3 linked regions of the Oryzias latipes genome follow. The protein of the gene in region 2 interacts with the protein of the main gene of each other region in a pairwise test. Links are inferred from orthologs where the notes say so. Each region holds a gene or a part of one and is shown on either strand. Other genes may lie near its edges.

Region 1 (10,577 bases), on a different chromosome or scaffold from region 2:
ATCCTTTGCCTCTCCTCCGTTCTCTTGTGCTTTAGAAAGAAAAGCAATGAAAAAGGAAAAAGTGATTTGTGAGCAGAAACGGCATAAACACCGCTGCAGAAAAGACTTTGTGCCTCCTCTGAGCTTTATAAATGTAAAGTTTGTCCCACTTGAGGTATTGTGGCCATCAAACTAAATGGAGGCTGTCTTAGGCTGTCTGAGCCAATGTGAACTCGTGTCTGTTCTGGTGTAAAAACTTCTGCTCCTCCACTGTTTGTCACTGCTGTCAGTGAGAGTTTCTCCACTGCCTTGTACAGCATTTGGACCCATTGAATAATGTTCTAGCATTATTGACTTGTAAAGATCATGAAACTGCACCTTCCTCAGGTTCTAGTCCAGATCTTTACGACAATGTTTCAGAACATTGAGATTTCTGCAGGTCCGTTCTGAGCTGGACCTGCTGTTGTGTTTGGATCATTGTTCTGCTGCAGAAGTGAAGACCTCATGAACGGATGGAGGTCACACAGGATTTTCTTGATGAGAACAGAAGAAAAAAACAGAAAATCAGTTAAGCGCAACCAATACAGACCATCACACTACCACTGCCATGTCCAACTCTTGCTTTGATGTTCTCCTCGTTTGATCTCTCCCCCCGGGGGGGGGGGGGGGGGGGGGGGTTGGAGACACAGCAGCATAGGGACCATTTGGTTGGTGGCTTAACCCCTCCAATCCAACCCCTTAATTTCCATGGTTTTGAACTCACAACCCTCCACTCTCGGACCAGACACTTGAGCACAAGGCCACTGAGCTGGTAAATGATGTTTGTTTTGATGATTGCAACCCTTAAAGTGCGACAAACATGCAATAAGGGAAGAGACAGTCCTGTGCACACTTTGATGGTTGGACTAAAGCTCACTCCGAAAAAGCAACTTTGAATTTCTAAATGAAGACATTTAAAAAGTAACATGAAGCAATTGCCTTATATACAGGACTGAAAACTCATCCATCCACCCATCCATCCATCCATCCCCCCTCCATCCCTCCATCCACCCATCCCTCCCTCCCTCCCTCCGTCCATCCATCCATCTTTTCCACCATTCAACCATCCAAATCTGTCAATCTTTTAGTCAGTTTCTCTTTTTTTCTTCTTTCATCCATCCAAACATTCATCTTTTCATCCATTCTGACCTAACTGACCCTAGTGTAGCTTTGGCCTTTGTTCTGTCATTGAAAGACTCTTTAAGTTGCACACTAAGTCAGAATGGATCACACAGAATCTTCTAGATATCTAAGGACGAGGATCACCTTAGTTTAGTAGATCTTTTTTTTAACTTAAAATATTTTCTGTGAATGTATCTGCCTAAATCTAAGATTTAATGGGTTCAATTAGTAACTTAAACTGATCTCTGTATGAAAACGTGCTTACGTATTTTTGTTTCTTTCTGCACAGCATCTGGGCGAGCTGCTGGTTGGTTTTCTTAACAGGGATCTGCAGCCTTCCTGTCTGCTGGCCTGTTTAGAAACAGTTCGCATTTTGTCCAGAGACAAACGTTGTGTGGATCCTTTCATCAGCCGCTCAGCCATGTCCACTCTAGCCAGGTATGCTGGCATAGCCACGGCTCAGACTGCTGCCGACAGCCAGCCAGGAGAGGGCAAACGTAAGTGTCTGTGTTCACTGGTTGGTTGTGTCTGAGTCAAAACCATGGTGCTTCTGCTTGATACGTTTTCCACTACTACTAGCCTGTTCTGTTCCGATGGAAGGTGATGGGTCTCTGGAGACCTCTCTTGATTGCTTAAATAACTTTTAATTTGAAGGGCAGTGATGTTTGTGATCATGTCAATGAAGGAACACTAAGAACCATAAAGGCTTGAGTCCACAACACTTAATGTCTCGTTATCAGAATCTAAAAAAACACAGATGTCGACGCTGTTGTAGGAAAATGCACCACTGATGCATCAATGACATCATAACCATTCCAGGGTTATTCCAAATCCCATTTTTTTGGCGGGGGAAGTTAAGGAAGAATGAAGACCGACCCATAAATTGATGCAATATTTAAAACAGCCACTGTGTTTGTGTACATGCCAGCTTCAGTCCAAGAACCCCCCCCACACTGGGGAAGTCATTGTCTCGCCACGAGGAGCTGACACCAAACACCACATTAATGCAGGCTTAGACAGTGTTCAACCCTTCTTGAGAAGATTGGTTCCAGAGCAGTTCCAGCATTTTCCCAGCCAGTGACGTGACATTTCGTGTTTCATTTGCCATTCATGGTAACCAACTTTTCACCACGGCATGATGCTTATTGCACCCCAATTCCAAGGCCCCTCTTGTAGGACGTGACCGGCTGAGATGGGGGCTCACGAGTAAGCCCACACCAACCCCCCGCCTCTCACCTTGAGCAACTCCAGAGTGGTAGAGAGTCCAACCCCTCTCTAAGGACTGAGTTTCAGAGCCCAGGCTATGTGTGAAGGCGAGCCCGACTATATCTACACAGTATCTCCGAACCTCTCACACCAGCTCAGGCTCCTTCCCTCCCAGAGAGAGGACGTTCCATGTCCCAAAAGCCAAGTTCCATGACCGGGGTTTGGGTCACCGAGACACCTGCCCTCGACTGCCACATTGCACCGGCCCCTTTTGAGGTCTCCAACGGGTGGTGGGCCCATGGGAGAGTGGTCCCACGTCGCTACTTCGGCTGAGTCCGGTCACTAGGCGCTCGCCTGCGAGCCCCAGGCCTAGCCCCAGAGTGGGCCAATCCGGGCGACGTAATCGGGTTCTTGGTCTTTCTTTTCATCAGAGGCTTCTGGACCGCTCTTTGTCTGGCTCGTCACCCAGGACCTGTCTGCCATGAGAGACCCTACCAGGGGTTCAAGCCCCAGACAGCTTAGCTCCTAGGATCACTCGAGCTCTCAAACTCCCCCAATATGTTAAGGTGGCAGTTCACGGGGGAGAAAAACTAGCTTTTCAAAATTTTTACTTAAAAAAATCATGTGTAATACTTTTGTTTCTTTTTTTTTACCAGTGATTGTTCCCCCAGAAACATAACTTATGGAACCATCGCAGTGACAGTTGTACACCAATTTAGAGCTCTGGACATTTTTAGAGCTGAACCCCTGCATCATTTTTAGCAATAAGTTCATTTCTTGGTGTGTGACGTCCTGTGTGTGTCTTTGTGAAACGGATCAGAGAAAACGTGTTATTGTGAAAATCAGAAAACATTAAAAACTAAATCATAGAACTCATCACTGGAATTTTCCTAATTTTGTGTAGCACCAACAGTAGAAATCCTTGAAAAACCTCAATACTTTCATAAACAAATGATCCATAGTTCATTCATGATCTCATAAAGTGCAGCTGTTTTCCTGCATTACCTGTGTCTTTATGTCGAATACTGACACAAACTAAACCACAGGCAGATGTAGAAAATACATTTATATAGAAAATAAAGACGACTCATCAAAATGTCTGCAATAGTTCATAAAGAATGACATCATTAGCATAAGCTGAGTCATCTAAAGGCACCGATGATCCAGGTGTTGAGCAATCCAGGCTGCGCTCTGTGCGCCCTCCACCCCTCCACACATTTGCGGCGCCTTCTTAAAGACAGAAGCGCGTGCAGCTGCAGGGGCGCCAATACACAGGTTCCAGGCTGCTTTTTCTTTTCTTACTAGCACTGAGCTGCCGCTCCCCCTTAAATTTGCCCGTATGGCCCGTGCCTGAAGCCGCCACTAAACCCTCTGACTCCCTTGCATGCCAGGGAGGGTGATCGTATATTCCTCTGCATGAATGTTTCTGGCTGTTTCACAACTATTTAGATTTGGAGTCATTTTTCATCTGTTTTCTTTCTAGTAGAGGATAAAGGGGGAGATGAGGAAGGGGAAGCAGATACGCTCAGAGCTGCAGAGAAGGAAGCCTCTCCTCCTGCAGAGAACCCTGATCTGGAGGTGATTGTCGAGGCTCTCAAGTCCATCTGTAACATCCTGCTTCACAACGAGACTGGACAGGTGAGCCTGTCGTCAGCTCTGCAGCTCACAGCCAGCGTTTGGTTAGAGCTGAAGTGTTGATCTGATGACTGTCTGCTGTTGATGACAGGCGGTGGCGGCAGAACTGCAGCTCATGAAAGGTGTGGCAGAGAGACTGAAACACTGTCGTGATCCCACGTGGAGCTTTGAGGTATGAACCTCCTTCACACTTATTTTAATGTTAAAGTCAAACACTTTTACCAAACCATCTAAACATGAAAAGAGCATACAAATGTAGCTTCAGTGATTGTCTGTCTTGACTTCTTCTCTGAAAGCCTCCAAACAAATCCGTTCCATTTTAACAGAACACTTTCATGAGATAAAAAAAAACAAATCAGTTGATTATATTTGCTCTTTTTTCTCCCTTTAGAAACTGTCTTTGAGCAAAAACACTAAACATCGTATTTGTCTGTGCAAGGACACTTTCAGTTTAAGAAAATCCTAAAACTCTGGTAAGATTTTGTCTTTACTACAGACTGCTGTCTGGTAAGATGTACTGGCTAGAAGCAATGTGTTTGTCTTTTTGTGTTACACAAAATGTGAGTCATTTACTTCTGAATGACTCGTGGATTGATGCAAAGAGAAACAGACCTCTCCTGAAAAAAGCAGCAGAACTACAATGGATGAAGAAAACATCAGTGAAACTTTGAAAGTTCTTTGGAGAGCGGTCTCTCAGCCCAGAAACCGAGTGACGTTCAAACGTTTTGCACCGAGGGCCAGATTTGGTGAGGTGAAAATGAGTGATGGTCAACCTTTTGGCCTAACATTCTTCGAACTATTTTAATAGCATTAAATGCAAATGAACTACTTAATGAACATATGTTCATAATTCACATACAATACAAATATATCTAAATCCATTTTTACATTCCTTATTTGTCACACCATTCGTTTCCAGTTAGCTTGTCGCTGATGGCATCTCAGGTAGCTCTTCTTGATATTGAAAACAGCCATAGTCTCTTGGCATATTTGACAGACGCAGTTGTTTCATATTTCACTAAAAAAAAAAGCCCATGTCTTGGACTTATCCTGGTGGCGGTGGTTCTCACTGTCAACTTTTCCTTTCATTTAAAGTTGACATTTTAGAGGTGAGCTTGAAAGAGTCACAGAAGGACAGTGTTGCCATGGTTTTACATGTAGTTAGGCCAATCACAATCAGGAAATCCCCCACAGTTTGTAGAAAATGATGGGGGCTGCATATTACTGTTTTGATGACAGGAGCCATCCGGCCGGTGGAAATTTGAACGCTGATGCATTTGGTCCATATGTTGCAGGCTAAAATAGTTCTGGTCATGTTTTGTCCTCAGACTTGCTGTTGTGCTTGTTTTCCAGGTGCGTTTCTTTGACTTGCGCCTTTGCTTCCTGCTGACCGCGCTCAGGGTGGACGTGAGGGCACAGCTGGCTCAGGAGCTTCACGGCATCAGTCTTTTGGGTAACGTGTGAAGTGTTTACTCTGCTGAGTTCTGAGCCTGTCTCTCAACATCGTCCTGCAGCTTCTGGAAATGTTACAGAGTGACAGAACTTACAGAGTCAAAGCACAGAAGAAGAGGAGGAGGAATGGATGTGATGTCAGAAAGCACCGCAGATGCTTGAGGAGCTGCAGACAACTCAGAGAGGGGGGGGGGTTACAACTCTTCACAATAGTCAGAAAAACTGCCTGTATAAATGCATTCAAGCAAAAAGCTGCTATACATTATCAAACTTGGCAGAAATGGGGGCGTAGCCTCTGACTGACAGGTGATTGTGCAGATGTCTGCTCAAGAAACATATGATTGGGCTTGTTCCCACAGCCAACAATCCAGCAACTCCTGCATGGCAGCTTATGTTGCTGTTTCAGCAGTTTGGTGCAGTTAGAGGGAACTGTTTTTGGAGTTGACTTTGGCCGGTGTGGGGTCTGTGGCTCCTCAGAGAGAGAGCAGCTGAACGTCTAATGACATCTTACTTAGTTCATTCATTTTCCATTCCCTTTTGGGGTCACAGGGCTGCTGGAGCCTATCCCGCCCACTTGTAGGCGAAGGCAGGGGATGCCCTGGACAGGTCGCCAGTCTGTCGCAGGGTGGAATGGCCACACTCACACTCACGGGGAGAACATGTCCCCCAGCTGGGACTTAAGGCAGGGCCCTTCTTGCTGTGAGGCAAGATTTTCAAATCAAAGCTAAAAACTCATCTTTTCCAAATGGCCTATTAACTTTAACATTAACCTTTTCATGTTTTTATATATTTTTTATTTAATTTTGTATTTATTTAAATTGTTGTTGTTGTTTTAAGTGTTTATTGTATTTTATACTGTATACATGCTGTGCGGCGACCTTGAGTGCCCAGAAAGGCGCCTTATAAATAAAATGTATTATTATTATTATTATTATTATTAAGAGCACTAACCACTGCACCACTGCGCCACCATGCAGTCTATCTTACTCAGTGAGATGGATTTTATCTACGCTGGAACTGGACTTCTACTGCCGATGAGGATAAATAGAGAAGCTTTTAATAGAAGATGGAAATGTGCTGAGAAAAAGATGCCTTGTTTTTTTTTACCAGGTAACCAGCTGGATGCTGCACTGGGTCTATGTTGGCCTGATCCTCTGGAGACAGCCAGGGTGGGGCTGGTAGGGGTCCCTCTCGAGGAGATGCCTCCTCTGAGCAGACAGCAGACAGAGCTAGCCATGGAGATACTGAAAATCCTCTTCAACGTCACATTTGACACAAACAGACGCAAAGTGGATGAGGTAACCACAGTAATGCCACATCAAGGCCAGTTTATCTTCTCAACATCTGAAAACCACAGCTGCAGCTTGACTATAGGTCAGCATTTCTACCTGACAAGCTTCTTCTTCTGCACGGCTGCACACAGTGCAACAGGCTGAAGATGAACCTCTGATCGGAAGATTGATATGTTGAAGTGTCCTTGGGCAAGGGACACCACCTTGCCTTTGGTGGTTGGCGCCAGTGTTTGGCAGGAGAGCCACCATCAGTGTGAATGTGACTGTAAAGTGCATTGGACCTTCAAAGAAGGTAGAAAAGCGCTATATAAGTATAGTAGGGGGGTGTATTGGCAAGAGTCTGGTGATACGATACCGATCCCAATATTGTACCGGAACACGTTTTTCTCTTTTTTTGTAAGAATTTTAATACGTCTTCTACTGTAATAAAATGGTCAAACTTAATGTATTTAATGATCACAATGTTAAGCACTGCAACTTTATCTCATACGTTGCTTTTACCCAAATTCATAGTGCTTTTATTTTGGTAACTTAAAATATAGAAAGGAAACAGTCAACATTGTCTGATTTCCACAACAAAATATATTTCAGTATAAGAAAAAAAATGGAATGAATGTGCCTTAACCAATAATGTTGGAAAAGTATGATTGAGGAAATAAAGCGCTTTTTATTTCCAATACAATATTGTTTAATGTAGCTTCTCCAGTACTTAAAGGGTTCAGGATCTGAATGGTGCTTCAAAAATAAAGGGGGGCACTAATTATTTCACGGATTAATAAAGTGTGATGATGAGGCAGCGTGACAGAATGAAGTAAAGCTGCTTTAATGTGGCTAAGATGCTTTGTTTACATGACTCTCTGCTCTGCAGCTGCAGCTCCGTTTTCTCACACGCGGTAGTAAACTAGTAACAGTCGTCACCACCATGTCGTCCTTTTTTCAGAGCGTTGGACACATCATTGTGATCCATCAGGTCTCTGAACTAGAATCTATTGCTGTGAGGTTCTGCAGAACTTTGGCCCGCTTTGCCGACAGCCTTTTGGCTGATGCTCAGTGCATTAGCTGCTGTGCAGCTGCAGTGCTTCACTCGTTCTTATCTGAGCCGCTACAAAGCACCGCAATCTGCGTTTTTATATGTTACTGGCAGCAACACGGCACATTTTTGGTTCAGTACCCATCCCAAGTAAAAACTAAGTAGTTCATGTCTCATAACAACAAGCAAGCTGCCTCTAGCTAAGGTCTTCCTGTTGTTTTGTGCGTGTAGAGCTGCTGGTGTGCTTTGCTGCCAACTAGTGGTCGGAGGGTGAAGTGGAAAACAAGAGTCAGACAATGAAGGACACTCAGAAATAAATAAATAAATATCGTCCTGACAGCATTTTGAATCAATGCTAGTATCTCCAAATGAACTATCGCGACATATTGCCGAATCTATTTTTTCTAACACCCCTAAAGTATACACCATTGACCTTTTTTATCGCTGTTATGAGCTGTTGTACAAACCCCACCTGGTTTGTCTTGAAGGACATGTTTGTCCAGTGAAAGCGGTGGTTCTATGACAGCGTTGTTGTGTGTGAAGGAAGAAGCAGCGGAATACAGACACTTGGGGGCCATACTGAGACACTGTTTGATGAGTCAAGCAGATGGAGAGGAGCGCACCGAGGAGTTTCACAGGTAATGCTCCTCCTTCCTCCTTCATTCATACAGTCACTGCTTCCTGCCTGTGATATTCCTCTCCTTCTTTTCAGTCACACAGTCAACTTGCTCGGTAATCTCCCCCTGCCTTGTCTGGATGTACTGTTGATGCCAAAGGTGCAGCAGGGCTCCATTGAGTACATGGGGGTCAACATGGATGCTGTAAAAGTGCTTCTAGACTTCATGGAGAAAAGACTTGACCGGGTAAGATGGCAACTCATGCAAAACAACCAGGAGCAATGATGGTAAGAAACAACCCCACGAGTCCAAGTTAACACTACAGGTAGTCAATGTTTGACTCTATGACCCATGCAGACCATGACAAGACTTTCTTTTTTGGATGTAGCCATCTTGATGTTGAAAATAAGCATTCTTATTTTTAGTGAAGAAGCCAAACACTGTTGAGTGAGTCCATCCATTCAATTCAATTCAATTCAATTCAATTCAATTCAATTCAATTCAATTTTATTTGTATAGCCCAAAATCACAACAGCAGTCGTCTCGATGGACTTCGAAGTGAGACATGAACTCAAAAGGATCATGAATATAGGAAAATACTAAATGAACTAACAAACTGACTAAGCTATACTGGCATCCCTGCCCTTAGACCCCCCTTCGCGCCAGGTGTAGGAGCAGGAGCACAGACGAGGTACACGGTCAGGAACAGGAGCACGGATGAGCCAACTGGAGTCTGGAAGGACTCCCACTCCCCAGTGGGAGAGGGAAAGAGGGACAATACATGAATCGCACTGCACCAAACAGAGGGAACTAAATGATGAAAAATGATCAAAAATAGAGAAGAGAGGAAGGGTAGAAGTAGATGAGAAAAGAGGACAGAACCCCAGTGCACCATAGTTACCCCAGCTTCAACTTCTAGCAGCCTTTAAAAATAAACTGTTATTGTTATTAAGTTTAATTTAAACACATTAAAATTAAGTTAAATAATCTCTGAATACTAACTAGTCTGATAAGAAGCCTGTGCAAAGTTTAGTCTTTATTTGTTCATCCATCCATCCATCCACAGATCTGCATGTCCATCCATCTTCCAGCCATCCATCCCTCTCTTTCATCCATCCATCCATCCCTCTGACGGTAGAAATGCTGCCTGTAGTCAAACATCCGTATGTCTGTCCATAGATCCATCCGTCCATTTGTCTATCCACTCCTCCACCCACCTTTTTACTTACCTATCTTCTGTAGTATAAAATGCCTGGTGATGGGTGCTTGTGTAGCTCAGGGACTTTCTTGTGGCTGACATGAATCCAGGTGGTGCCCTCAGCCATTTCGAATGTGGTTTGGATGGCTGGAAGCACCTAGACTGGACCATGTCACAGATGAGCCATCTTGTCTTCCTTACAACACTGTAATGCAGCATCGTCACAGAAGGGAGGGGAGCAGTCAGCTGATGGCCCCGTGCTCAGAGTGGGAACTCTGCCCAACAGGACTGGACTGTTTTCTCAGCATCATTTCACTTTCAAGCTTTCATTTTCTCCTCCCACTGCACTCCCACATGGGGGAGGAATTGCACCGTGCCTGTTGGTGACTATTTCCAGAAATGCCCCCACCTGCTCCAGTGCTGTGTTGGCAAAGTGGGAGTTATTGTACGGCTGATTTTGTTGGGAATTCTCCATCTGGGATTTATGTCTGCTGGCAGAGGCTTCAGTATTCCAGTGTGCAGCCAGAGCTCCAATAGTGCTTTGATTCTCTGGTCTTTGCCTGCTGTCTCCACTCCTCATCAGCTTGTTTGCTCTGGCCTGGTCTGCTGACATTTCTCTGCTCCCCCTGCTTCTCCACCAGGCTCTTGTTGCTCGCCTTTCTCCTTCCAGAGGTTTTACTTCTGGCACATTTTCATGACATGGAGAACTGTTTGAGCACTGACTTATAAAACTTTGTCCACAACTGTGGAAGCAGAGCCTGGCAGTTCTAGAGTCACTGGTTCAATTCCCATAGTTGGGTTTTCTGGGTTGGATTAATCTGCAAAGCAACTTGTGTTAAAAATGTTTCTATAGACTTTACTGCAGTTTGTAGGTATTATATTTGTGCTATGAAGATAAATATCAGTGAAGAAACTGTGAGTGTATGGAGCAGAAAAGTACAACGTTCCCTCAGTGCAGCATCACAATCCAACAAGAGTGAAGAGTGAGGCGACCGGCCCACCTTGAG
Region 2 (10,677 bases):
GAGCACGTTTCTGTCTCCAGGTCCCTGATGATGGCTGTGAAAGAAAAAAAGAAAAAAAAAGAAGGCAAAATGAGGGAGTTAAATCAGGTTCAGCTCAAAGTGAAGGATAGACTGGATTTTAAATTCCCAAGAAATGGTTGACAATTTTAAAACTCAAAAATGGATTTTGAAAACTTGAGGAAAGTATTGGAAATCTAAAAAATAAAAATGTAAATTTGAAAAACAAATTAACATTAAAATTTGCTAAATTAATTTGTAAATTAAAAAACATTATATTGTAAATTTGATAGAAATGTTAAAAATATAAGTTTAAATATTTGAAAAATAAAATTTTAAATAAAAATATGTATATTTGTTTAAACATTTATTGTTTTATTTAAAACCTGAAAGAAATATTGAAAATTTGCAAATGAAGAAAGTTAGAAAATAAATATATTTTAATTCACATTTGGTAACATTTTTAGGTTAACTTTTTTCTTCTTTAAAAGTTTCATGATTTCCTTCTAGTTTAAAATGAATTTATTTCAAATTTACAATAAAATGTCTACATTTCTTTTAAGTTTACCATTGAAGTTGAAAACGTTTTTCCTTTCCTGTTTTTTTGTTTTTCAGTTTTACAATCTGGTTTTTTTGTTCACCTCAAGAATATCCTGATTTCATATGAAATGTGGAGCATTTATGGAGAAATGGAAGCCTGGTTAAATGAAGCAACAAACCGGATCCCATTTGTCATTAATGGTCTGAATGTGTGTCCAGCTCTGCCCGGTGCCTTCCAGGCGGCGCTCCATGGAGTCCTGACGCTGAGCCGACTGGATGAAGCCGTCAGAGACACGATGCGGCGTGGAGGATGCACCGCCAGCCGAGCCTCCTTTATAGGAGCTTGTTTGGGAGCACAGGTCAGTTAATGCTGGTTGGCTTTGATGGCCTAAATCCTCAGAAATGGGCTGGTGGTGTAGTGGTCAGTGGTCCAGCCTTACTTTTGTTTTATTGTAGAAGCGTTCCCAGTGGTCTTAGAATTAGGATTATGCCATTTTTAGGCAAAATCCAAAAAACCTGTGTCGTTTTCTGAATTGTGGTGGGGACCAGAGCAGTCCTGCCCCCTTTTCCCTCATCATTACTGGAGCTCCTAACCCAAATCCAGCCCTGGAGGTCCACCCTCCTTCTGGTTTTCCAGAAAGCCTGCCTGGTCTGCTGCTGATTACCTGGATCAGGTGTATTTGGCCAATAAGGAGCTTGTTTGTTGGAAAACATGTTGGACACCGGCCTTCGAGGCCTGGATTTGGACACCTCTCTTGCTAGCTTACAGTGGCAAATTTCTAATGAACTCCTGCCGCTCTGCAGAAACAATGTCCTAGAAAATGGCACAATTTTTTGCCTAAAAACGGCCTAATCATAATTAAAGACCATCCCTCTGAATACAAACCTATCCACTGTGGAAGAATTATGCAGGATGGAAGCTGTCTTTCCTGTAGATTTTTGCTTTTTCATTTTTAGTATTTGGAAAGTGTTCCAGTTCATTTGCGCTAAAGACTCAGCATTTTTTGTTTTTTTTTTGCCTCATGTCTTTTTCAGAGCGGTCTTCAGGGAGTTCCGGAGTCGTGGAGGAAGAGGACGCTCAGATTCCCTCTCCTGTTGGAGCTGGCCAAAAGTGTGGTCAACAAGAGTCGAAGCGTGTAGTTCAGCTCCCGCTGTGCCACAAACACAACAGGCCATGTTGCGTTCGCTTACAGGGACATGATCCTCGCAGACTTTCCCGCTACAGATGGGTTTTTCTTTGGCAGCTGCAGCTAATGACAGCTTCATTCTAAAGCCATGTGCTGAATGAAACTTGAATCCTTTTGCTCTGTCAGAAGCTCCATCATGTAACCAAGTGATAGTTTGTGCAGGCTTCTGGTTTTTGGACGTCTCTGCTCCCATCGCGCTTCTGTTCTGTTGTCTGTATCAGGGGCTGATCGGAAAATCCTTTTTTGTCAGCTCAGAGCAGGGCTCTCTGGTCTTATTCCTCGGAGTGCTCTCTGTTATCGTGAAGTGAAAGAGCAGCGACGGGCGGATTTACTGCTGGAACAACCTCCACCTTCCTCAGAGGGCCCCGCTCTGCTCTGCAGTCTTTCTACAAGTGCTGATGTGTTCAACGCCTCCACCCCGACATGTATGAAAGTTGGATTTGTCCTCATCTTAACTTAAAAACGCAGCTTGACAGACAGTGAAAAACTGTTTGGTTTTCAGTATTTATGCCTCTCTTGTTACCTTAACCATAAGGAAATGTTTTAAACCAACAGTTGCAGTGGTAAAGCTTTAATTTCTGGTGAGCAAAAGTTTTATTGAATGCAGTACGGAGGCAGAGATGGCAGCTGACGGTGTGTTGGAAGCCTGCAGAGGGGAAGTCTGCCTCTGCTTGACTTCCTCCCACACAGCAGGTAGCAGCCCCACTCTGGCATAATCGCAACCAGATCTGATGATGGGTTGTGTTTTTCTAAAAAATTGGCCTGACTTCCCTCCAAAGATGCCTTTCTTACAAAAGGTTTGTAAAAAAAAAAAAAGAAAAAAAAAAGCACCATATTTATTTAATCTCTATACGTTTTGTGCAAAAAGCCATAAAAATGTAGTAGTTTTTAATTTCTCTGCCTTGGCTGACTGATGTTCCAAACATGAAAACTTTGCTTAGGTTCTCCACCAGAAACGAGAAGAAACTTAATCCAAACATTGCATATTGATGTCATTCTCCAAAACAACTCATTAAGAAGTAGGTAAAAAAAGTCAATTTTTAAACAATTAAAGTAATTTTCTAGTTTAAAAAATGCCCTTTTCAATGGTAACGTAACAAAAATGCCGATCATGTGACGCCACGTGAAAAGCGTCTGTTCCATGATTTGTGCTGCAGTTAATCAAATCAAATCCAATCCAATCAAACTTTATTTATAAAGTATAAGGGTAACTCTTTACAAAATTAAACATCTTTAAAAAAAACGGACACAGTACCCTTTGACATTACCAACGCAACATAGTTTAAAAATATTAAATAGAACTTGAAATATGAATTTGAAATTTAAGAAAGTTACTTTTTCCCCTCGTTTATCATTTATTTTCTTTATTTGTATTTTTTAAAGAGGCAAAATAAAGTCACTATTGTGTTCTGCTTGTGTGGTGCATTCAGTGTGTGTTTTAAAATCCCACTCCAATCATCTTTTGATCTATTTTAAAAGGTTTCCCAATGGGTTTTTAATGATGATTTTCATTGTAGTGGGTCTTTAAATGATGTGTGTACATTATGAAAAATTTCAGTGTTAATAAAGTTATTACAAACACTTGTATACATGTCTTATTACACACCTTGCACACAGCTATTCAAAAGACACTTTATCTCGCTTCTTGTCACTCCCTAGTTTATCTTATCTCAATATGATAATAAACTGTACACAATGAAACTGCGACACGAAACTACGACATTTCCGCGTAATATGTATGCAGCAAATGGATTTTAATGCCCAAGAAGTCATGCAAAGAAAGATGGAAACCTTCCACCTTCGACTATGTTCGTTTTAAGGTTTTGCCAACTAAAAATGTATGTTTGAAGTTTTTCGGTCATGCCAGCGTTGGACTATTATTATAATTGTATTTTAAAAATATAAATCAGAAAAAAATGTTTTATTTTTATTTTTTTCCCTCTTTTTTTTCTTTAGTTGTTAACTTGTCATTTAAATGTCGTTTTCTGGGGATTCCGGTATTCATTAAGCGCATGCGTACAACCCGTCAGTGCTGTCAAAATGTTAGGGTGGTAACGGGATCCATCTCGGAGTATACTATCTTTGTCTAGCTAAACAGCTGGGTGGACCAGCGACGAAATTTTGCTTCAATGACATTTTCCTTAGTGATGGCAGTTGGAGTGTGAGACCAACCTGATTTAGTAGCAGGGTTTTATCTTCACAGCTGTGCCATGGATTTCAATGTAAAGCGGTTCGCCGCAGACGCCGGTACTTTTCTGAGCCGTGCGGTACAAGTAAGTTTATGCACTGACGGGGGAAGTTGTGGCTAACTTTAGCCGTTAGCCTTATCAGTATAGAAGGCGTTAGCTCCCTTGCTAAGATGCTAACATTAGCGCCGCGAATTTTGTAGAGCTAATTAGCACATTTATTGCTAAAACTATTCTTACACGCCGTGAATTAAATTTTTATTTGTCAGAGTGTTTTAGTTAGTTGGACAAAACCACAAGTTGTAATCAAACTGCGAATAAAAGCCACAGAAAACCGTATGCTAATCAGATTGGGGGAACTTCTATTTCCATTAGCTTCCCTTCATGCTAACCGTGACACAGTCACAGTCAGCTCCTCAACTCAACCCACATTGTCCAGTTTACAGAGGAGAAGCTCGGCCAGGCTGAGAAGACTGAGCTGGACGCTCACCTGGAGAACCTGCTGGTCAGAGCTGAGAACACCAAGCAGTGGACAGAAAAGATCATGAAGCAGACAGAAGTCCTCCTCCAGCCCAACCCAAGTAAGAAGACCACACTAATGCATTCATCGGACCTGATACATCAACAAACTGGAGCTTTTATTTTGGTGGCAGACATGTTTGTTTTCATCTCTTTTGAGTGGGGGGAATGTCCAGTGTTTGCTGGATTATTTATAAATTAATGAATTATTAACTATTAATAAATACAGAATCCACATTCTGATTGGTCGTTATAGTGATTTTTTAAAGCAATGTTCAAGCTAGGTCTTCTACTTTAAGGGCTTGATGTACTATCTTATTAAATTAAAACTATGTACATAAAAAAAAGAAAAGACAATTCCAAAATTATTCATCTGGCTGCATAAAATGTTTAAATATTAACTTTTACATTGTTCTTAGGCCATCAACCTTATCTTTTTTAGATTTTAAATCATTTATTTTAATGTCATTCTATTACTTTGAAATGTTTTCATTAAAACTAAGTGTCTCAAAGTCTCATTTAGTGTATTTTTTAAAAGTTACTGTGTCTAAAATCTATTATATGATCATTTAGGGGGGGGGGGGGGGGGTCGTTATTCCTTAAAAAATTGTCCATCTTGGAATTTTTAGTGGTAAAATAGGCTCCCCCCTCACCTGGGTGTTGATTTTTTTTTAAAGATAATGCCCTTTTTTAATGTCTAAAAGCCCACTCTAAACAACAAAAATACTTAAAAATAACAATAAAATTCTATACTAGTTACTTTTTTTATTGTAACTGGATACAAGCATTTATAATTTGTATTCTAAATATTTTTTTAAGTAATTAAATAACCTCGAGGGTCCTTATCAATTTAAATGTAGACATTTTAAACGTGTTTTTTTTTACTATCAGAATAGGATCTGGTCTAAAAAGCTCTGCAGTGAGAGTATTGGTGGAGGTGGGGGGGTCTGTGTGGCCTCAGCTGTTGGCCTCGCACTGTGATGCCGTCTCACTGCGGTCCGAACCCCATCAGAAGCCAAACAAACAGAACGTCTGGTGGTTCCAGGTCTAATGCATTTGTCTTCAAACCCACCGCATGCACATGAATAGATTCTTGGAAAAGAAAAAAAAAGTTTCTTGATGAAAGCGGCTGCTGGTTTTTCCCCACACAAGTCTTGTGACTCCATGATTGAGTTTGGACGCTGTCATCTGCAGATGTCCGGCTGGAGGAGTTTGTGTACGAGAAGCTGGAGAAAAAAGCCCCCACGCGAATGAACAACCACGAGTTGCTGGGACAGTCCATGATCGAGTCAGGAAGTGAATTCGGCCCTGGAACGGCGTACGGTGAGTGGCGTCCGTGACGCTCTGATGACACCTGCTGTCTGTCACGAACGTTGTCTGTGATTAAGCAGATTCTTTTGGTGCAGAGTAGAAATCTGAGGGGGGATAAAACCCCATTTTTACTAGTAAGTCTGTAAAGAAATGTTGGCGTAGATGGGATCATCCAAAGAATGGAATCAAAAACTTAGAGAAAAATGCATATTATAACCAACAACAATGCAGTGATTGTGTTTTTTTTGTTGTTTTTGCATCAGTAACGTCTTTGTTTCTTAAGGCCGTTTTGTTCCGCCGGACTTTCAAACTATAACTTTATTTGAATAGAAATCGTTAACGACACGGAACTGGTTTGTTTTGAGGTGTTTTAGTTTGAGAAAGCATCAATTGTATGGTAACAAATACAACAAAAAAGTGTGAAAGTTGTCGTTTTTTTAACATGTAGTGAGAATTTAAACACTTTTGTGTCTAGCTTGGTGTCAACAAAAGAAAAAGTTGAACTGTACTTTACTTATTATGTCTTCTTTTGTTAAATTCCGCTGAAAATTCAGTTTTTTCCAGCTGGTTTGTTTTTTTTCCTTCTTTAGTCAAATTGGTTTATGTTTTTATAATGAGATATGAGCTCCAATATTCTTATCTGCTGACAGCTTTAGATATGTCATTTGGCTGTGATTGTGTGCTCTAGAATCTATTTCCTGCTGCATTGTGGGTCAGTTCCTGCTCTGTGTAAAGTGTGTTGCTTCCCCTGTGCTGACCGTGACAGGAAACGCCCTGATAAAATGCGGCGAGACGCAGAAGCAGATTGGCGGGGCCGAGCGCGAGTTCATCCAGAGTGCCGCCATCAACTTCCTCACACCTTTTCGAAATTTTCTGGAAGGGGATTTTAAAACCATCCTGGTGAGTTTGACGACTGACTCAGTCATTGTTTAGCTCAGGGGGGCCCAAATCCAGGCCTGGAGGCCTCCTCCTGGTTTTCCAGAAATCCTGCCTTATCTGCTGCTGATTACCTGGATCAGGCCTGTTTAGCCAATAAGGAGCTTGTTTGTTGGAAAACATGGTGGACACCGGCCTTCAAGGCCGGATTTGGACAGCCTTGGTTCGGAGGATCAACAACACACTAGCATGAGCTGCTAGACACTGACATGTCATTTAGAGATTCCCCCTTCATGTTTTGACAACACGGGCTCTCTTTTAAATCACAGGTTTCCTCTTCAGTCAACAATGAAAGTCTGAAAAGCTGCAAATCGAACCAGAGACTCGAATCCATGAAAACAGACGTCATGTCATTGAGGACATTAATGGCTGGATTTGTCTCAACTTACTTCAAACAAACAAACAAAAGTAAAAGCGACGGCCCTGTCTTTGGGGCTAAAGGTCGCCACAGAGCTTCACTCTAGTCCTCTGAAAACCACCAACCAGGCCAGAAACCTGGCTGCAGTCATGGACACAGACCTGAGTTTTGATAAACACGTGAAAGCAGTCGCAAAATCAGCTGACTGTCTTCTGAAAATGAATTCACGGATTAAAGATCTGAGATTCTTCATGCTTTCATCTTTAGGCGACTTGCTGACTGGAACGGTGTTCTTACTACCAAAAAAAACAATCAGGGAACCGCATCTTATTCAGAACTCTGCTGATGGGGTTCTCCCAAGGACTAAAACAAAGTAGAACCCCATCAGTCCAGCTCTGAGGTCTTTAGACTTTAGAACGTTTGAATTGTTTCGCACCAAAAGACATGATTGACCTCCTGACGCAGCAGCCAGACCTCTCTGCTCGTCTGGATCTGCTTTTTTGTCATAAACCAATCATGGAGAAGCTGCATTCAGCTTCTATGCTCCACAGATCTGGAGCCAGCCTTAGATCAGCTGAAGCTGTTGATTTAAATCCAGGTGAAAGACTGGCCTGTTCTCAGCTGCATGTGATCAGTTTGGATTCACACGTTAACATCTGTTCTGTTCCTTTAAGATGAAGAGAACTTTCTTTACATTTTTATTTTTAATGATCGCTCCTTTAACTGCGTCTTTTATGTCAAACACTTTGAATTGTTGAAATTAACTTTGCCATGTACAACATTTGTATTACACAATCCTACTTATTGTGTTTTTTAAACTTGTGTTTTTCAAAAATGTTCTTATGAAACATTTGTCTTCTATATTTCCCTTAGAAAGAGCGGAAGCTGCTGCAGGTGAAACGTCTGGACCTGGATGCAGCAAAAACCCGACTAAAGAAAGCCAGGATGAGCGACGCCAGAGCTGCTGTGAGGACACACGCACACACACGCACACACACACCAACACACACACACACATACACACATTCACATTCATATTCACATACAAACACACACACACATACAAACACACACACAAAGATGCACACAAGAAACAGATGCAGATGCACAAACAAACAAACACATACACATAGATGCACATACAGACACACATACACAAACAGCATGCATACACACGATATGCACACTCACGTATACAGTGATGCATGTGTGAATTCACAAACACAAAAACACACACAGACCTACACGCACAAAGATATACATACAAACACACACACAAAGATGCACATTCAAAAACACACACTCAGAAACAGCATGCCTACACAAAGTATCCCCACACACATTTACAAGGATGCACAGACATACACACACACACACACACCCAAAAACACAGACAGACCCAAACACACACACACACAGATGCATATGCAAACACACACACACGGCATGCATACACACAATAAGCACAGAAACACACAGATAACATGCACACAGAGGTGCACAACACCCACCAAAAAACGCACCAAAAGATTCCTAATTGGTGTCAGTTGATCTGCCTTAAAGATGTTGACGTGTCTTTCTTAGTCTCTCTCTGCATCCACAGAAGTTCTGATGGTCACACACAGACGCACACACAGACACACACACAGACGCACACACTAACACACAAAAAACGCACCAAAAGATTCCTAATTGGTGTCAGTTGATCTGCCTTAAAGATGTGGGCGTGTCTTTCTTAGTCTCTCTCTGCATCCACACAAGTTCTGATGGTCACACACACACACACACACACACCCACACAGTTACACAGGTTTCACCTCATGTGACTCATGAAGTCACATGAGGAGCTACAGGAAGCGAGGAGTTCCCTTTTTGCTCTCACTATGTTCTCAGTTTTAGGAGTCCGACTGATTTAAACTGAAGTCTGTTCTTCTTCAGCGTCTTTTCCATCTTCATCTTCCTTCTAGTGTTGGAATCTTTGGAGATTCTTTGGACGGGTTTTGTCAGAGCAGCTTCAGTTAAACCAGCATTTCCGACCTAAGATAACTATTCGTAGTTCTAAATGTGTTTTTCGTTTCGTCTGCGTTTTCAGTGCGTTTCAGAGCTGCAGTTCCTCCTGAAGCATTTCTGCAGTGGAGCTGCACCTCTGTGCCTCGATGCCTACATTTCCCAGAAAGCTTTCTTGAATTTTGACAGAATAAACGGGTTTAAAGAAAGTGATTGTGAAACATTTGTTGTTGGTTTCTGTGCAGCGAGTAACACAAGCTGCACATTTGCTAAAGAACGCTCCGTCCCGTCAGCTTGTGTGTCGCCGTTTCACATTCTCCCAAAGACGGCGGCGGCGTGGCGTGTTGGCCGTGCAGCAGCTGCAGCTCTAACTCATGTGTCACTGTTGTTTTTTTGTTTGTTTTTTGTTTTGAAAACTTAAAGCTGCAGATGTGAGCGGAGGAAACAAGAGGTGAGTGGAATGTTGGAGCAATGTTTGGTAAAGCCAGCAGGTGGCGCCTGTCCCTCCATGACCCTCATCCTACATGGACATGAGCCAAACCCTGCAAAAACCTACCGCTTCAGATCGGATCAAATCAGATTTGTTCAAAGATCCACTACACGGAAAATGGTGTTTTCAACTTGAAGGAGGACAGAAACCAAATCAATTATTCTTCCGATTGCATTTCTGAGTATGTATTTATTCAAGTAGTCGTAAATCAGGAGCAGATAAAAAGAAAATGCAGCTGTAAGAAGCTTGTAGCAGTGATGTAGAAGCTCACTGCTCCGCTCCATTCTGATGCATCCACCTGCAGATGAATAGATCCAGGTTTTAAAGTCCCACTCCCATCATCTGTTGATCTATTTTCAAAATGTTTCCAGTGTTTTTTTTTTTTTATAACGATTATGCTGTTTTCAGCCAAAAACAAACAATACCCAGTCATTGTCTTGGACAGTTTCTACAGAACACACAGTAAGTCCGCCCCATCGTCATCAATAAGCTCTTTACCAAACGGCGTGTTTCTTTTTCTTCTTCTCCTGATTCACAACAGTTTGCATAAAGAAATACTCAGAAATGCAATTTTGAGCTCATTTTTCTTTATAAATGTCCTTTTATCAGAAAAATGCCACAAAACAAGTTAAAACCCAATTTTCATCAGAGTGGGTCTTCAAAATAAAAGCCCACTTTGTAAACTGAAACTGTTCATATGATGGTATTTTTCTCCAAAACCATTTCACAAAATAGAAATAACGGAAATCCAAACGGGTTCATTCTTTGAGTCTCTTTCCCTGCAGGCGGAGCAGGAGCTCAGGATGACGCAGAGCGAGTTCGATCGGCAGGCGGAGATCACACGTCTGCTGCTAGAGGGCGTCAGCAGCACCCATGTATGTCGCCCATCCGCACCCAGCGCTCCACGGCGCCGCCGTTTCTCAACGCTTCCTCTGTGCGTTCGCAGGCACACCACCTCCGCTGCCTGAACGACCTGGTAGAGGCCCAAACCACCTATTACGCTCAGTGCTACCAGTACATGGTGGATCTGCAGAAGCAGCTGGGCAGGTGATCATTCTGCTGCAGCAAATGTTCACGTTTTAGCAGCTGATGTTGATTTCATGTCTTTATTTTGTTGCAATGAAACCTAAAGGGAAGTTTCCAACA
Region 3 (10,677 bases), on a different chromosome or scaffold from region 2:
CTCTAAAAGGAAATTGACCCACGTTTCTACCACGCACCCACAGAGGCATAAACCCTCTTAATCCAACTTCCTGTCTGATCAATGTCAGAAACAATAGCTCAACAGGTGTGACAGACAGGAGCCCAGCAGCAGCTTTCTTCCCTGCCGCTGGGTCCAATTAGCACCCGCGGCTAAGGAACAAAGAAGCGACATTTCATTTCAGAAGTGTGCCAGTTAAAGGCCTCTTCCATCAACCTCAGCCTCTTTTCTTCCTGTCTTTTGCTGCTGACATCTTTAAAGGATCATCCCTGGCTGCATCATTTTCTATTAGATTGGGTCGATGCCTAGTGCTCAAAATGGCAGGGGTGTTAAAAACATGGGGTGTTGATGAATTCATTGCATGTGACTGGACTTGCTTTCTTTGTGGCGAGGGTTTCGTAAATAACACTCTTGCGAAGGCCTGATAAAAGGCAACAGTATCTTCAGGGTTTAGCTCTTCAATCATTGTCCTGACTGGATTTGCTACCTAAATTACTGTGGCAATGACATATCCCTTAACTTTTTTATTTATTTTGCACATGTGACATCTAAGGGAGCACTTTGTTTTGAAAGCCTTTCAAACTTTTTATTTATTGAAAGGATTTTCCTTATATCCAACAATAAAACTTTGATTTTTAAAGAGAGAACTTTGTTACAAAATCTAGATCCTACAAAATATGTACAGGTCTAAAGCTAGTTATAATCAAACTGAGAATATACTGATGTCTTAAAAATAATTTAGTATGAAATTATATCAAACAAGCAACCTATTACAGTTTTTCTCCATTGGTTTGGCTCATTTCTTGAAACAGAAATTACATTCTCAAAACAACATGGACAAACCTCCAAACCACTTGGCAATTGTTCACAACAGAATGGAATTTCTCATTGATTTCATCAAATTGCAAATGTCTCAGTACATCTTTGCAATTTATGAAGTACATGTAGCGTACATTAAGCACAATTTCCAAGTGAATAGATCTTGTTGATCTAAACTGATAGTTGATTTTCAGTCTAATGGTTGTTCGATCCAAAATGAGTCAGGATCATTTCATTGTGTAAGTCATCACATGCAAAATAGTCAGTTCAACTATCAAAATTAGTCAAGAACATAATACCATGAATAGGATATATGAATCCTTTGGAACATTTGATAAATTTATAAGAGCAATTGACAGGTGAAACTAGAACTTGACTAACAAAGCAGGAGTTTCACACATCTCAGATGACCAATCAAACAGTGTGTTTAGTCACCTGACAAGTGCTGTCCATGACTGTGAATGCTGCCAAAAATGTATGTAAAGAGCTTGACCATGCAGGACCAGTAAAATGTCTAAACATGGAGACACCTGGCCAGGTAAATGAACATGGGCAACTGCCTGCTCGAGGAGGAGGAGGAGGAAGAGGAGGAGGAGAAGGAGAAGGAAGAAGAGGAGGAGGATGAGGAAGAAGAGGAGGAGGAGGAGGAAGAAGAAAAGGAGGAGGAGGAAGAAGAAGAGGAGGAGGAAGAAGAGGAGGAGGAGGAGGAAGAAGAAGAGGAGGAGGAGTAGAAGGAGGAGGAGGAGGAGTAAGGGTGCGTGGTGGTGGAATAGGAGGAAGAGGAGAAGGAGAAGGAGTAAGGGTGGTGAAATAGAGGGAAGAAGCCGAGTAGGACGAAGACATCATCCCGCCCAGATGAAATTTGGGCCACAATTATAGACCATGTCATCAACCATGGCCTCACAATGGCGGAAGCAGGTCGCCGAGTGCATCTTAATGTGCCTCGCTCTACAGTCTCCTCCATCATCCAAACCTTTTGTAGAGAAAACAGATATTTAGTCAGTCAGTGATGGAATTATATGTTGTATAGGATAGGACACTGTGCATAAAGCAAGAAATATATTTGTTTACACATTTACCTATTCATTTGGTGCGAGTGTGATAGGCCTGGGATGTTATGATACTAAAATTGATAAGAAAAACATTGGAGAAAATAAACTATGGAACTATTCCATAAACTATGGAATTTGTATCATCATCATTGATGATGATACAGTTTACAGTAGTATTCCAGTCACTGTGCATTGATGCATTAGAATTGTGGTAAAGTTACTGTAAGTAAAACAACAATACAATTACATATGTAACTCATTCTGTAAGGAATACATAAGGTATACATTAAAGTTTTTCTCCATTGGTTTGGCTCATTTCTTGAAAAAGAAATTACATTCAGAAGTTTGATCCCTGAAAATGAGAAAAGTCTAGTAGGGCCTCACCTACCACTATATGTTATTGTATGGGACAATGTTAATTTCCACCGTGGCCCGCTCATCAGGGCCTCATCCAAGGATGGTCATAGTGTTCCTACCACCTTACTCTCCTTTCCTCAATCCTATCGAAGAGTTTAGCTCTGCTTGGAGGTGGGGAGTGTAGAAGCATCAGGTTTAAGATCAGAGGTCCCTGCTCCATGCACTGGATGCTGCTACAGCAGCTGTTCACAGGGCTGACAACTGCAACTCATTCCCCGTTCGACCTCAGCTCTCCTACTATCCCCCTCCCTCCTCCGTGCACTGTCTGGAAGAATGTGCCTGGCTCACGGAGCTTCACCTGAAGGACAGATTCATGGGGGCCCCTCCTCCCTCCATCTTCCCCACCCTCCTGAGCCTTGTGCATTGTGTTTTGTCTGCATATGTGCTATTTGTGTTGAACCGTGTAGTTTTTTTCTTGTACCTAAACATTGTACGCAGTGTAGAGATACGACTTTTTTTTGTCACCAATGCCCCACCCCCCCCATTGTAGACCATCTACATGCTGAACAAGGTTGCGCTGGGTTCGGGCATCACGGCCTGGGTCACAGCAGCATGACCTCAGTCAACTTCTCAAAATGTATGTGTATTTTTTGTTTGTCTGATCTTGTTCGAGATGTACTGGAACTAAATTTCCTTGTGAGGGATTAATAAAGTACGTTTGAATTTGAATTTGAAAGTACACAGTTAATGTATGTGTCAGAGGTCAGAGCTCCTCCCCCCACCCCCCTGGTCACGGGCGGTAGCTGTCTCCGGAGTTCTACACGCACTACATCTCCCAGCAACCCCAGCGTGCAGTTTCTGGATGCTGCACACCTGAATCTGAATTGCACAGAGCCTCGCTAAGTGTTCATGCCGCTCTGCCTGCATTCCTGGCGGTTCTTCTAAATCGAAGATCCTTATTCCCTGACCCTGTTTTGTCTCTGACTCCGTTTGCCTGCTCTGAGTCTCGCCTGGATCCTGACTACTCCAGTTTCTTCTCTGATGCTTCCATGCTCATTGTTGACCCCTGCATGCCTAACCCTGATATAGATTTGTGAACTTTCAGCTGTGCTTAGAAAACCTGCTGCAATTTAAATCAGACGTCTGCCGGTTTTGTGACAGAATGACTACATTTATTTACAGACTTGACCTGAGCTCTCTCTTTCTTATTTCATATTGTTGCACATAGAAAAAAGGACTTCAAGTTATTCAAGTCATAACCAGATGCCTTAGTAAAAATAGATCATCTGACATCAAGCATTAGAAATGTTCAACAGATTCACCCAAATCCACTTTCAAGCAGTAAGAGTGTGGCCTTTAACAAGCTCACATTTAATTGGCGAGAGTGGTTGCCATAGAATTATTGACTCAGAAAGACTCATACTAAATATTGCTTACTGCCGTTGTCTGGCTCCAATGTGGCAGCGTCCATAATGCAAAGAACATGGCAAATGAATTGACGTCATTTTGCTGTAGCCAGTTATAAACCATTTTCTATAGGTGATATTACACTCACTTGGTCCAGTTCACATACAGTATATACTTTACAGTAAATACTATAGAATAAAATACTATATAGAATAAAAGCCATGCAGCCTCATTATTCCCAGTTCTGGTACCCAGCCCGGATACAGGCCTGTGAAGGGCATCCAGTAACAATTTACTTGTGAAATGTCACATCTTTGTTTTTCCAGCTCTGTTTTTGCAATTGTAGCATGGCAGTGAGACGGCAAGTTGCTCTTTTTTAATATGGTGTCGAACTTTGCATATATAGCTTACCTCGCAGTGCAGCGTCTCTAGCCCATTAACTCCTTGGTTTACTCATTATTAGTCTCACGGTTGTTGTTCTTGTTACAAAACTCAATGAGTCAAATATACAACTTAGTTTTAACTTGGGATGGTACCAAAACTCTGTACCAAGTTGCTATTGGTACCATTTTAAAAACAAAGATTTTGGGAGGCCGGTAAAAGAGGCCATGCAGATGCACAGCACACCTGTGTGGTGATTCAGTCAAAATGCAGAGGGCATAACCAGTGAAAGTTTGGTTGTACTTTACAGCAAAAGATTCTAATTCAGAGTGATGTGTACAATGCTAAGAAAAAAGTGAAATACGTGTTTGCTTCCATGTGTGCGTAAAGGGAGATGCTGCGCTGCAGTGCAGACTGTCACGGAAATAATGCATCTTAGGCACATTTAAATGCTCTCCTTCACCCTGTCACACTGCTTCATCATACTTAAATGTTTATAGGGGAAAAACTAAAAAATGTAATTTTTGTAATTACATTTTTTTATTTTATTTTGCTTATATTGAATATATTTTGTTGTGGAAATCAGACATTGAGTATTGAAAAAATATTTATTACTTTACCAAATTTAATAGCTCCATGAATTTGCTTAAGTTGTATATGAGATACAGTTGCCATGCTTGATGTTCTGATCATTAATTAAAATATATTTCACTATTTTATTTAAGTGAAAGATGAATTTATATTCTGACAAAGTTTTTCTAATTCATACTCTATAAAAAAAAACAGTGAGAATTTGTCTGCCATACCAATACAAACACCCCTGATTACTATTATGCATTTTATATTTTGCTTTGTATTGCTTTTTTCTGTTTATTTCAGGTTCAATGATGGTTAGTGACAAACTGTCAGTAAACCTTAAACTAAAAAGATAACTGACTTAAACTAAAAAATAAGTGAGAATGAGAATCACAGACTGAGCGCGTGGGATGAGTCATGGGTAACCTTAGATCTTTATGTGCGCATGCGTAGTGTGGAGAATTTCATCGATAACAGATGACAGTTAACGTTTGATACCAAGCTGGAGTCTCTTAATTCATGTTTTTATTCATTTACAAACAGCGGACAAAGCTAATACTAGAACCCCGACATGATAGTCAGATTTTGACGGAGACAGGAAGATGTTTATGTAGAAACCAAGTAACCAGGAAGTGCTAAGGAAACGCTGTCGCCGCCTCGCTGATTATGAGATTGTTGTGTTGTTCTTCACTGGGGAAAGCTACCGGGATTTCAGCCCTTTTCATCGTAGGGTTTGCCCTCATTTTGAAGTATTTTGACGACGACACCGTTCCGGTAAAATATTTAAGGTAAATGACGTCCGTGGGTTCACGTTTACTCCACACCTGGACGCTGACTGATTACAGCTGTGAAACCCTACAGATTATTGGGATTTAACTAAACCTACTGATGAATAATAGAGCAATAAGTGATTTGTATTCATACATATAGTTGTAAAGTATATTGTTTAGGATTTCTCTTCTGTTCACTCTTATTTTTTCAGCAGCGTGTCTAGAAATTGTTTTAACCCTTGTGCTGTCTTAGATGACCCCACCCTTACGTTGACGTGTTCTACCTACCATGACAAAGGTGGATAAAGGTGAAAAGATTTCATGTAATCCATGGACACCAGTGAGGTTCACAAATCATTGAAGAAAAAAGGTTCAGCGCACTGTCTAGTGGGTCTAGATGACCCAACTCCCAATGTTAAAGTGCCTATGATAGCACAAGGGTTAACGGGAGCAAATATGGGCACAGATTTGGGAAAGGGGGGCTTCTGCAGCATGCGTTCATTTCTGTTATGGTCAGGGTAAATACTCGATTCTGATTGGCTGCTGGGTGTACATTATAAGACGGACGTCGTTTAACACATAATGCCAAGTTGCAGTGGCTGGACACACCCCTACTTATTTTGACACAATCCTGGTAGAACTTTCTGTGAACGCATGAAGGATTGGATCCGTTTTTTCTTCTTTGGTCCACAGTATGTCTGAAGACATCGAAGCCCAGGAGGAACATTTCAGGCGTCAGAACCAAAGCTGCTTCATCCTCGGTGCTTCTGGGGAAACAGGGAAGGTGTTGCTGGAAGAACTTCTCCAGCGCAACATCTACTCCAGGATAACACTGATCGGGCGGAGAAAGCTGACCTTTGAGGGCGAAGCCTATAAGAACCTGGTTGGTGGTTAGTGAACCTGGTTGCACAGAATCCAGGGTGTTCTCTTCAACAGGTCATCATTTTGAATCCTCACAGGTACAGGAAGTGGTTGACTTTGAGAAGCTGGACGAATATGCTGCTGCCTTCCAGGGCCACCATGTGGGCTACTGTTGTCTGGGAACAACCAGAGCCAAAGCAGGAGCGGTGAGTTCATGCCGCCGCCATCAGCCCTGCCTGCTGGGAGTGTCTTTAGTGATTAGGAATGACTCAGCGATTTTTATCTGCACACTTCATCAGGGAGCGGGGAACATGAATACATCCAGTTTGTTTAGGTCATTAACAGAGCTTGCAGGCTGACAAACATTACTAAGAAAACGACAATGACTGGTTACAGACATGACAAAGTTGTGGTTATATCATGTGGGACATGTTAGTTTTTTTTTTTTGCTATGTTGAAGGATGTTATTTCTTATTGCACACAGAAAGAAAAAGCTTTCATATTTTGAGGCTTTCTGTGATTTCTTTTTTTTGACTGCTCCTCCTTAAAGTCCCTCTCTGATCATCTTTTGTCTATTTTAAAGGGCTTATATGCTTTTCTTAAGCATTTCAGAGTAAACTATATCTATATACACAATAATAGATTACCTTTGGCACACTAAAGAAATGTTTTTAATGATATCTGAGTTATTTTGGCAGTTCATTTCCCTACCCGTAAGTAAGATGACTCGATCTCTGAGGCTCCGCCTTTCGCTCCTTGAGGGTACCACCCATTTCATGACGTCATCCTAGAGTCTGTTGTAGAGTCTGTGTTTCACACATAAAAACAAACAACATCTGATCTTTTGCAAAGATGCATGTGCATATTGTGCATATAAAAGGAAAGCGTTTTTGCCGATGAGCACTAGCTTCACGAAGAAAGTGTGTGGGTGTGTGTGTGTGTGTGTGTGTGTGTTAGCGTTAGCCTGGGGCCAGTGCTGGCATTGCAGACTCTTCCTGGAAGGGGCTGTTCCTCACTTTGTGACTTCACAATGTGAGGACCCACTCGATACATAAAGTTTAGCCAAAATTGCAAAATGGGTTTATACAAAAATGCACCTTGTTTCAGAAGATCCATTAAAAAAAAGGAGTCAACCTTTTAATACAACGAAAAGCTCGTTTGTAAAAAGTTGGTTTTGCATGGGCCCTTTAAAAGCGTTCTCTGTGGTCTTTTAATTATGATCTGGCAGTTATTTGCCAAAATAAATAAAAAAGCCTGTCATTATTTAGAACATAGTTTCTGCAGAGCGGCACGGTGGAGCAGTGGTTAGCGCCACCCCATCAACCTTTCCGTTCTCCCCCGTGCATGCGTGGGTTTTCTGTGGGGACTCCGGCTTCCTCCCACTGTCGAAAAACATGCTTTATAGGTGAATTGGTTAATCTAAATTATCCCTAGGTGTGAATGTGGGAGTGCGTGGGTGTGTGATTGTGGACACTCTACCCTGCGACAGACTGGCGACTTGTCCAGGGACCTTCTAACAGCCCCGTCACCCCAAAAGGGGATAAACGAAGATGAATGAATAGTTTCTGCAGAGTGGTTCATTAGAAAGTCACCTATGAGTTGGGGGTGGGAGTGTTGGCGGGGCGTAAACCTACCCCCTTCCCATAATTCATCTGTTTTCATTCGTTAGCTTACAAGCTCTCACAACCAGTGTAACAAAAATAGGGAGCGATATTGGTGGTAATCTTGGACAGATTGGAAATGGAAATGGATGTATCAAGTTTCACTGCTCCCATTTGTTGAACCTTTTTGCCAAAAAACATCAGACATTGGTTATTTTCCTGTCTGTAACGTCAGCTGGAGTTGAAAAAGAAGGCAGTGCACAGCATTGTAATCTGAATCTTTGCTTTTACTATGGACTAAAGGCCAACTAAACAGACTGAAAAGTGAGGTCTTTTTTTAAATGAATCTAACAGTTCAGTTATTGATTGTCATCCTTGTCTAATTTATCAAGCCCCTGTCATGTGAGCATTAACAGTGCAGCATTCAAGAAACCCATCAAGAAGAGTGACTTATTTAGTTTTCTCAAATGATCTTTGTTAAATTTGAACATTTATGTATTTCCTCCTTTTTATTAGGAGGTCAGACCCAGTAGGCAGAGCTGAAATCTCCTGTTAGTTTGTGCGATTAGTTTCACACTTGAGTGTGGGGATCGTCTGCTTTCACTGATGGTGGGCTCTTTCAGAGGCAGAAACCTCATTTCTTCTCCACTGTCTAGTTTCTTTATTTGTTCATGCTCTAACGAACTGTGAAGCCATGTTCACACCTCCCTCGGCAAAGCACGTTGAAGCGACCACTTTCAACGAAGAGTCCACGTTTAACCAGTGTAAATGGGTGTCCTGGGCTTCTGCGTTCTAAACCTTGGCATGAATGTGTAGCTACACACATTTCAAATGCCATTTTTGTGCTCTACGCACAAAACGCGCAGCCATTGAATGTGCATTGAAAGTTAAACCAGCTCAAACTTTGACCAGTCGGGGACTCTAATTTTCTAATGATGTGTGGATGAATCACAGAATTGTCAACAGTTTGAAAGTTCATCATTGAGGAGAAATTAGTATGTGCGCTCTATGCCCGGCTGGAATTATATTACACCAAGTCTTTCATGTATCAGAGTAGAGCTATGAAAGAAAAAGCCTAGAGCAACATTCATCAGATTTCCACCGCTTTGACATTTCACACCAAGACTCTACCAACTGTAGGTGGAGGACATGCACTAGTAAACAGTAGAAAGAAGAAGAGGCCCCTCCCTGACAGAGGCTGCACAACCAGAACACTATAGGCTAAATGCGCGTCACATCCCTGGTGTGAACATTGCTTCAGACACAATAGCAGTTATTAAAAAAAAAAAAAGGATGATAAACATAAACAAGTTGTCTTGGCAAAAACAATAAGATATTGATCAATAATGAGATACAGTCAGGACCATAAATATTTGGAAAGAGACACATTTTTTCTAATTGTGTTTCTGTACATTACCACAGGGAATTTTAAATAAAACAACTCAGATGCCATTGAAGTGCATTTGAGATGCTACAAAACCCAGCATCTGGTGATGTCCATGAGTTCTAGACTCTGGAACTCTCTACCTCCGGACCTCAGAAACATCGGGTCTCTCTCACAATTCGCCAAAAAACTGAAAACTCATCTTTTCCAACTCGCCTATTCCCTCCGATAATTTCCTATTTCTGGCCTATTTATATGTATATTTTATTGTGCATTCGATTGCTTTTATTTTATTTTTATTTTCACTTTTATGTACGGCGACCTTGGGTTCCTTGAAAGGCGCCTAACAAATAAAATTTATTATTATTATTATTATTATTAGACTTCAGGCTGTCATTGCCAACAAAGGGATTTCTACCAAATATTAGTAATGAGCATTTTGTTTTCAGTTATTTCATCTGTCCAATTACTTACGAGCCCATGAAATGAAGGGATTGTGTTTAAATGTTTACATGCTTAAATTTTTCCCATTTTTGTGCAATCTTTTTGTTCAACCCATGGAAGCTGAAAGTCTGCACTTCAATGGCATCTGAGTTGTTTTATTTAAAATTCACTGTGGTAATGTACAGAAACTGAATTAGAAAGAATGTGTCTCTGTCCAAATATGTATAGTCCTGACTGTATTTACTCCCCTTCTGTCTTTAGGTTGGTAAGTGCCTCTTTGATGCTCTTTTACTTGAACTGGGTTAAATCAGGGAGTTCTTTATGTCTGATCTTGCTTGTAAATTGTAATATTTGAATATCATTCCTTTTGTCTTCAGGATGGATTTGTGCGAGTCGATCATGACTATGTCCTGAAATCAGCAGAGCTCGCCAAGGTGGGAGGCTGCAAACAGTTTCACTTGGAGTCCTCCAGAGGAGCCAACAAAGACAGCAGTTTCCTTTACCTCAAAGTCAAGGTCTTCTGTTTGTAGTCTTCATGTTGATTTCCAGCCAAACATGTTTTTGCGAAAATGTTTTTGCTTTAAATGGTTTGCACTTGAATATCTAAATTCATGTATGCTTTTCTTTAAGGGCCAAGTGGAGGCAGAGATTGAGGCTCTGGATTTTGACAGATTCTCCATTTACAGGCCAGGGTGAGTCATTTCCTATTTTGGATTGAAGCCATCCACTGCATATGAGAATTGGACTAAGTGACCCCTCCCCTTTGGCGTTCCAAACAGGAAGTGCCTGCTTGCTCCAAGATGCCAAAATCCCATAGACTTGTATAGAGTAATAAACAGCTGTTAATAACCATTCTTGATCCAATACCTTTTTTTAACGCTTTAACATGTAATCCTCTATTTTTTCATGATATTTGTCTTTGATCGCAAGTTATTCAAGTTGTAAACTGATCTAGCCCCCACAAAATGTTTGAAAGATTTTGTTTATGCAAAATAGAAAAATTGTGC

What was found.
Region 1: the proteins of endophilin-B1 (region 2) and ric8a interact in binary tests that used the Homo sapiens proteins (3 or more experiments, as listed by UniProt). The link is inferred for Oryzias latipes from reciprocal best matches to the Homo sapiens genes SH3GLB1 and RIC8A.
Region 3: the proteins of endophilin-B1 (region 2) and htatip2 interact in binary tests that used the Homo sapiens proteins (3 or more experiments, as listed by UniProt). The link is inferred for Oryzias latipes from reciprocal best matches to the Homo sapiens genes SH3GLB1 and HTATIP2.

What each region holds. Positions count from the first base shown.
Region 1 is NC_019864.2:5,135,690-5,146,266, forward strand, and holds part of ric8a (synembryn-A), read left to right. Parts: intron 1-1,429; coding exon 1,430-1,637; intron 1,638-3,829; coding exon 3,830-3,984; intron 3,985-4,072; coding exon 4,073-4,153; intron 4,154-5,334; coding exon 5,335-5,434; intron 5,435-6,543; coding exon 6,544-6,731; intron 6,732-8,298; coding exon 8,299-8,393; intron 8,394-8,467; coding exon 8,468-8,618; intron 8,619-10,577.
Region 2 is NC_019878.2:11,770,577-11,781,253, forward strand, and holds the start of endophilin-B1, read left to right. Parts: upstream 1-3,672; 5' UTR 3,673-3,934; coding exon 3,935-3,997; intron 3,998-4,349; coding exon 4,350-4,491; intron 4,492-5,623; coding exon 5,624-5,752; intron 5,753-6,506; coding exon 6,507-6,640; intron 6,641-7,907; coding exon 7,908-8,000; intron 8,001-10,316; coding exon 10,317-10,406; intron 10,407-10,477; coding exon 10,478-10,578; intron 10,579-10,677. UniProt on the Homo sapiens protein: May be required for normal outer mitochondrial membrane dynamics. Required for coatomer-mediated retrograde transport in certain cells. May recruit other proteins to membranes with high curvature. May promote membrane fusion.
Region 3 is NC_019861.2:6,471,375-6,482,051, forward strand, and holds the start of htatip2 (oxidoreductase HTATIP2), read left to right. Parts: upstream 1-5,059; 5' UTR 5,060-5,276; coding exon 5,277-5,398; intron 5,399-6,073; coding exon 6,074-6,263; intron 6,264-6,339; coding exon 6,340-6,447; intron 6,448-10,047; coding exon 10,048-10,185; intron 10,186-10,300; coding exon 10,301-10,362; intron 10,363-10,677. UniProt on the Homo sapiens protein: Represses translation by preventing reactivation of elongation factor eEF1A. May also inhibit nuclear import by competing with nuclear import substrates for binding to a subset of nuclear transport receptors.